2 linked regions of the Canis lupus familiaris genome follow. The protein of the gene in region 2 binds, or shares a complex with, the protein of the main gene of each other region. Links are inferred from orthologs where the notes say so. Each region holds a gene or a part of one and is shown on either strand. Other genes may lie near its edges.

Region 1 (3,565 bases), on a different chromosome or scaffold from region 2:
ACTTGCTCCCCGAGACACTCCAAAGCATGGCGCAGCAGGTACCAACCCATGTGCCAGCGAGCAAGTGTGAGGCTCTCCTGGAGGACCAAGAGCCCCTTGACCCTGGCCCCGACTGACCCTACACCCGCTCCCTCTTCCAGCCCCACCCGTCTCTCTCCGGTCGCGGCCCCCACCCTCAGTTGTACCCCCACACCCGCCCAGGTCCAGGACTTCGGCTGGCCCGAGCTGCACGCGCCCCCCCTGGACAAGCTGTGTTCCATCTGCAAAGCCATGGAGACGTGGCTCAGTGCTGACCCACAGCACGTGGTCGTACTGTACTGCAAGGTGGGCTGGGACCTCGGGTTCACGGGGCTGGGGTGCCCTGAGCCTGGGGCGCCGGCTGGCCCTCCATTCCCCTCTCTCTCTCTCTCCCCCTGTCCTCAGGGGAGCAAGGGCAAGCTCGGCGTCATCGTCTCCGCCTACATGCACTACAGCAAGATCTCTGCAGGGTGAGGCTCCCTGGCCCCTGACCGGCCCCTTCCCCAGTGACCCTGTCTCCAGCTGCCGGTGATGGGCCCATCCCCCTTGAAGCCCCCCTTTGTGTTTGGAGAGCCGTTTCCTATAAACTTGGCCTTTCCACCTCCTTTTTTCACTTGTATCTCACCACAGTTCCCAGCAGAGGATTTGTATCAGGTTCCCAGAGCTGCTGTAACAAAATGTCACAGACTGACTCAGTGGCTTAAGACAACAGGAACTAGTTGTCTCCCTGGAGACTAGGAGTCTAAAACCGAGAGGCCGGCAGGGCCGCGCTCCCGCTGAGACCCCGAGCAGGACCCTTCCTTGCCCCTGTCTAGCTTCTGGTGGTGACCAGCAGTGCTTGGCGCTCCTCGGCTTGCCGCTGCGTCCCTCCAGCCTCCGCCGCGGTCATCACGTGGCTTTCTTCCTGTGTGTGTGTCTGTGTCTGTCTGTCTCTTCTCTTCTTCTAAGGGCACCCATCATAGTGGATTAAGGGCTCATCCCTACTCCAGTATAACATCTTAATTAATTCCATCTGCAACGACCCTATTTCCAAATAAGGTCACGTTCTGAGGTACATATCTTTTGGGGAGACACAGTTCAACCCATAACATGGTCTCATCACCCCCGTTTTACAGAGGAGGAAACTAAAAACTCAGGGAACACTTGCCTGAGGTCCAGCGAGTAGTCAAGTGACTGTATGTGGGGCTTCTAGTTCTTTCCACCTCCACCCCGGGGCTTCCTCTAGAGTTAGGGGATCACACATCTCCTCCCTCCCCTGGGGCTTGGGGTTGGGAGGCCTGGACAGATACCAGCCCCTAATCCCCCACACTTGGCCCTGCGGTCCCCAGGGCAGACCAGGCGCTGGCCACGCTTACCATGAGGAAGTTCTGCGAGGACAAGGTGGCCGCGGAGCTGCAGCCCTCCCAGCGCCGGTGAGCAGCCGGGGTGGGGCTGGGCCACCGGAGCAGCGCGGGCCCCGAGGCCGAGGGTCGCTCGTAGGAGCAGCACACCCGCGGGACACAGGGCCTGCGCTGAGAACTCAGGCCCAACACGGTCCCTGCTCTCACGGAGCTTGTGGGAAAGACAGACTTGCAGGACAGTCGGAGCCCACCTCGTCATGGGAAGCAGAGGGCTGGGGGGAAGAGCAGGCTAGGCGGGGGAGCCAGCAACTACAGACCTTTGAGACGGCAGAGGGTTGAGGTTAGATGTGAGGAAGAACTTTCCAGTGAGCCGGGAGACGGGAGGGGCGTGCTGAGAAGGGCCGGCCTTCCAAGGCTGGGCAGGGGTGTGCTTAGTAGAGATGAAACAGAGGGACCTCCAGGGGCGAGGCTTACGTCCCCCCCTCCTGCCCCCGACCCCCGCAGGTACATCAGCTACTTCAGCGGCCTGCTGTCCGGCTCCATCAGAATGAACAGCAGCCCCCTCTTCCTGCACTACGTGCTCGTGCCCGTGCTGCCAGCCTTTGAGCCCGGCACCGGTGAGTGTGCCCCGAGGCGCCCCGCGGGGAGGCCTGTCCTCCAGCCCCTCCGCTGAGCGCCCCTCCGCGCCCTCTCCCGCCTGCCCCTCCAGGCTTCCAGCCCTTCCTCAAGATCTACCAGTCCATGCAGCTGGTCTACACCTCGGGAATCTAGTGAGTGCTCTGCTCCCGGCCTTCCTGCCCTTCCAGCCTCCCCAGGCGCCCCCGCCTCCAGCTCCGGCCACTGCACCTGGTGCACCAGGAGGGAGAGGCTGATGCTGAGCAAGCTGGAGGCGTCTCACTGGGGCTCAGACCCCAGGCTCGCGGCTCCCTCCTGACGCCCCACACCCCCGCCGCCACCCCAGCCCCACTGCCTCCCATTCAGCCTCTGTCCCGTCCCTCTCCTCCTCAGTCACATCGCCGGCCCCGGGCCGCAGCAGCTCTGCATCAGCCTGGAGCCGGCCCTCCTCCTCAAGGGCGATGTCATGGTGAGGGGGCCATCCTGGGGAGGGGGTGCATGGGGGGGCGAACGCGCCAGCTGCACGGTCTCCCGTGAGTCATCCAGAGGCCCACTGGCCGGCGGAGAGCCCGTCCCCAGCGAGGGCATCGCCTTGAGCTGAGGCAGGGCAGAGCCGCAGCCTGACAGTCCCCAGGACGGAAGCACAGAGGGGACGCCAGCGGACAGGAAGGCCTGACCCCCGGTCTCCCTTCCCTCATCCAGGTGACCTGCTATCACAAGGGTGGCCGGGGGACAGACCGGACCCTTGTGTTTCGAGTCCAGTTCCACACGTGCACCATCCACGGACCACGGCTCACTTTCCCCAAGGACCAGCTGGACGAGGCCTGGGCTGGTGAGTGGGAGACAGGTGTGGGGCTGGAGCCCGGGGAGGGGGCGGCCAGGGGACCTGGCTCCTCACCGTGTCCCCCGCCTCCCCTCCCAGATGAGAGGTTCCCATTCCAAGCCTCCGTGGAGTTCGTCTTCTCCTCCAGCCCTGAAAAGGTCAAAGGTGAGAGCCAGCCCCGGTCGGGCCTACAAGTCGGGGCTGCAGGTCGGGGCTGCAGGTGACACCCCGGCCCTCAACACCTGGGTGGCCCTTCCGCAGGCAGCACCCCACGGAATGACCCTTCGGTCTCCGTTGACTACAACACCGCAGAGCCCGCCGTGCGCTGGGACTCCTACGAGCACTTCAATCAGCACCACGAGGACAGCGTGGACGGTGCGGGGCCGGCCCGGCCGCCCACTCCCTCCCTCCCCGCCGCAGACGCCCCTGAGCTGGAGCCTCCGGCAGGCCCCGACATTCACTCCCTCCCTGGTCCTCTCCCGCCAGGCTCCCCCACCCACACCCGGGGACCTCTGGATGGCAGTCCCTACGCCCAGGTGCAGCGGGCCCCCCGCCAGACCCCGCCGGCACCCTCCCCGGAGCCACCTCCGCCCCCCATGCTCTCCGTCAGCAGCGACTCCGGCCACTCGTCCACGCTGACCGCCGAGCCGGCCGCCGAGTCCCCTGGCCGGCCTCCCCCGACGGCCGCCGAGCGCCAGGAGCTGGACCGCCTCCTGGGGGGCTGCGGGGTGGCCGGGCCGGGCCGGGGCGCCGGGCGGGAGACGGCCAT
Region 2 (3,565 bases):
TTGTTAGGATTAAAAGCCCCTTGAGGACAGGGACGTCTTTGTGCTTTGCTGATAAAGCTTAGCTTGATAGTATTGCTTGATCCTGTCTTTACCACCTTGAAAAAAAATAAACAGGGCAGCCCTGGTGGCTCAGCAGTTTAGTGCCTGCCTTCAGCCCAGGGTGAGATCCTGGAGACCCACCCCGGATTGAGTCCCATGTCAGGCTCCCTGCATGGAGCCTGCTTCTCCCTCTGCCTGTGTCTCTGCCTCTCTCTGTGTGTCTCTCATGAATAAATAAATAAAACTTTTAAAATAAACAAACAAATAAATAAACAGAGCATCTGGATGGCCATGCAGGCTTTAAGATGCAGATAAATGATCTTCCTTTATTGCATTGACCCTTACATGGGTCCCAAGAAAATAGATGTTCGTAATTTTGACCAGAAAATTGGTCAAAAGGCTGTCTAGCCTGTTCTTGAATATATTTGGGGACACCAGCATATAGGTAATAATTAGCCTCTAAACACATGACCATAAATACAGCTGGCAATTTGCCTTCAAAATATATTTGTGAATTGTCTGGGCACTGAAAAATATATCCTCTTTTCAGGTGAGCGAAGGACCACCTCTGAGGCTTTGGCGGTCGACCATTGAAGTCCCTGCAATGCCTGAGGAAATCCTAAAGCGCCTACTTAAAGAGCAGCACCTCTGGGATGTAGACCTGTTAGATTCAAAAGTGATTGAAATTCTAGACAGCCAAACTGAAATCTACCAGTATGTCCAAAACAGTATGGCGCCCCATCCCGCTCGGGACTACGTTGTTTTGAGGTGAGAGCTTCCAAATGGATTAACAGTAGCAAGGATGAGCCTGCTATCACTGAATGTGCCAAGATAGTAAAATTATGTAAAATAGAAGGTATGCCTCTGACATAATATCGAACCCTTCCAAATAGGGAAAACATATCTCTGTATATTCCAGCAGTGTGTTCATCCCTGAAAATAGTTTGAACGCTTTTGGAATCAAACTCAGAAATAGAAGCACACTTGGGACATCAGAGTGGCTCAGTTTGTTAAGCATCCGGCTTGATTTTGACTCAGGTCATGATCTCCAGGTCAAGAGATCGAGCCCCACCTCAGGCTCTGTGCTCAATGCAGAGCCTGCTTGTTCCTCTTCCTCTGCATTATTCCTGCTCATGCTCTCTTATGCTCTTTCAAATAAATAAATAAAAACTTTTTTAAAGATTTAAGAAAATAAAGAATTAGAGGCACATCCAATTGAATATGCTCGTCGGTAGCAGATTCTTGCCCCTTCTAGGACAGATTTTCTTGCTAGAAACAGCTAGTGAATGCATAAACCAGGAAATAACATTTAAGTCCCAAGTGAGCTGTGGTTAAAGCTGAACTATATGTAATTCATAAATACTCTGGAGACATTATTGAAAGAGGAATTCCAAAAATCTTTGAGGAAATGGCACATCATTAGTCCAGAGCTTTCCAACAGAGCAATACTCAACTGGATGTCTATGTGCTATAATACATTTGTGAAAGGTAAAAATGGTTTTCATTCACCCTTGGTACTAGTTCTCTTTCAAAGAACTGATGTGTGAATATATCCCCACTCTAATGGCTCTGGATGGAGTTGCTTGTCATTCAAGAGCCCTTGGACAATAGTTCAGAAGATGCCATCTATCCAGGACTGGGTCACACAGGAGAGGAACTCATCCTGCCCCTCAGCTGTCTCTTCTGACAGCAGGACCCATTTGAAACTTGGCTTCCAGGAAATTCCATCCTTTGCCTCTGGTTTTGTTTCTACAGAACATGGAGGACTAATTTACCAAAGGGGGCATGTGCCCTTTTACTCACCTCTGTGGATCACGACCGGGCACCTGTGGTGGGGGTGAGAGTCAATGTGCTCCTCTCCAGGTATCTGATCGAACCCTGTGGATCAGGGAAATCTAAACTCACCTACATGTGCAGAGCTGACTTAAGGTAGGTTCTGATTCTGATTTTTTGCCGTGGTGAGGGGTCATGAAGAAGATGAGACTTTTTGTCTGATACAGAGAATGGCCTAAATGAACACATCATTGTATCTTGTCTGCTCTCTAAAGAGCAGTCTTTATAAAGGAACACCTTCATGTTTCTTGGTACTGTGGAAATTGCTTCCTAATTCTGATCCCTTAGAGAAAGTGGCACTAAAGCAATATGAATGTACTGCTCCTGCCGTGAGTTCATAGCCATAGGAAATGAGAGTTTGAGCTAGCCAAGTGGACGATTCACATTTTATAGTCAAAGGTATTTGAATATATAACATGCCCTTTTAGTAATTAATCAGGCCTGCACCCTGTGTCATTGATGAATGTGGGTTCATATCAGAAAACTCATGAAATTCAGTAGTATAGACAAAAACACGAACCTCTTCAAACTTTCCAAAGTGATTACATTCTCATTTGAAATCTTGGCATCTGGGTACATTTTCAACTCTCTATGTGATCTATCTTTGTTCTCTATGCTAAAGCTTTCCCTGAACAATGCACTCAAAATCTGAACTCAGTACAGTTTCCTTGAGAAACTTCGCATTCCAGACATATAATGGATGTGCCACGAGGTTACCTGGGAATAATTGGAGTAATAGTCTTTACTTCCATGGCTTCTGGATCAAGAAATGAAAGTGTCTTCAGAACCCTCTCCGGCTTATTGCAGTGCTTTCCAATCTAAAGAACCCCTCCTGCTTTTCCTTTCCATTGTAGGGGCCACATGCCAGAGTGGTACACAAAATCTTTCGGACATCTGTGTGCAGCTGAAGTTGTGAAGATCCGAGACTCTTTCAGCAATCAGAACACCGAAACCAAAGACACCAAATCTAGGTGATTCCTGAAGCTAAGCGGCCACATCTGCCATCTGGATGTTTGTTTCTGGAAGCCCATGCCGGTCCTTGAAAGAGTGGATTCTGAGTCTAGTCCTGAAACAAAGAAAACTAATTTAGAGTGTGGGGATCAACTAGCAATTGAAGACGTTTTTAAAGCTGCTTCCTGTTTGTTGAAGGTCTAGATTTTAGGCCTTGACTGGAATATATAAGACTGTGCACGAAAAAAAAAAAAAAAAAAGTATTCTTATTCAAATTGCTTCTGAGAAGCAAAGCTATAAATACATTACAGAAAATAATGAAGATACTTCATTCTCTTGTGATACTGGTGTATGTGTACCTATGTCATTTTATTTGCAGCGTGTTGAGGGACTGTGTATCCACTGGAATAGTTGGTACTCTTTGACCTGTTTCTCACTGAGATGAGCAAAGAAAGGTTTGCACAGAGGAGTGTGTGTATGTGTGTTTGTTGCTGGTTGAATGGCATAGTTGTATAAGTTGGAACGCAGTGTCTGGCACACTGAGACGCCTCCAAGAAGGATTTTGATGTGTCAGGTTCAGTTTAACCTGGGATATCTGACTGCCCATGGACCCATCCAGAAAGGGGACCCAACATCCTTGTTCACTTATTTTTTTCCAAGTTATTAAGCACATTCCTTTTTCTTTTTAAACCAACCTCCTCTTTCCTTAAAAGTAATTGTAGTAGGTTGATTCCAACCCCTT

What was found. The genes of interacting proteins can lie anywhere in the genome.
Region 1: the proteins of DLC1 (region 2) and TNS2 are in contact, whole or in part, in an NMR structure (PDB 2LOZ), measured with the Homo sapiens proteins. The link is inferred for Canis lupus familiaris from reciprocal best matches to the Homo sapiens genes DLC1 and TNS2. Residues at the interface, in NP_001335010.1 of Homo sapiens: Glu811, Asp812, His813, Lys814, Pro815, Gly816, Thr817, Phe818, Pro819, Ala821, Leu822, Thr823, Asn824; in NP_736610.2 of Homo sapiens: Asp1268, Leu1269, Leu1270, Arg1271, Gln1272, Gly1273, Ala1274, Ala1275, Cys1276, Lys1317, Ser1319, Ala1320, Gln1321, Thr1324, Leu1387, Asp1388, Pro1389, Asp1390, Gln1391, Val1403, Leu1404, Leu1405, Gly1406.

What each region holds. Positions count from the first base shown.
Region 1 is NC_049248.1:44,543,465-44,547,029, forward strand, and holds part of TNS2 (tensin-2), read left to right. Parts: intron 1-201; coding exon 202-324; intron 325-423; coding exon 424-488; intron 489-966; exon of another isoform or gene 967-1,069; intron 1,070-1,346; coding exon 1,347-1,430; intron 1,431-1,862; coding exon 1,863-1,975; intron 1,976-2,067; coding exon 2,068-2,128; intron 2,129-2,366; coding exon 2,367-2,442; intron 2,443-2,675; coding exon 2,676-2,805; intron 2,806-2,895; coding exon 2,896-2,961; intron 2,962-3,057; coding exon 3,058-3,171; intron 3,172-3,282; coding exon 3,283-3,565. UniProt on the Homo sapiens protein: Tyrosine-protein phosphatase which regulates cell motility, proliferation and muscle-response to insulin. Phosphatase activity is mediated by binding to phosphatidylinositol-3,4,5-triphosphate (PtdIns(3,4,5)P3) via the SH2 domain.
Region 2 is NC_049237.1:37,354,186-37,357,750, reverse strand, and holds the end of DLC1 (rho GTPase-activating protein 7), read left to right. Parts: intron 1-589; coding exon 590-807; intron 808-1,794; coding exon 1,795-1,968; intron 1,969-2,726; coding exon 2,727-2,847; 3' UTR 2,848-3,077; downstream 3,078-3,565. UniProt on the Homo sapiens protein: Functions as a GTPase-activating protein for the small GTPases RHOA, RHOB, RHOC and CDC42, terminating their downstream signaling.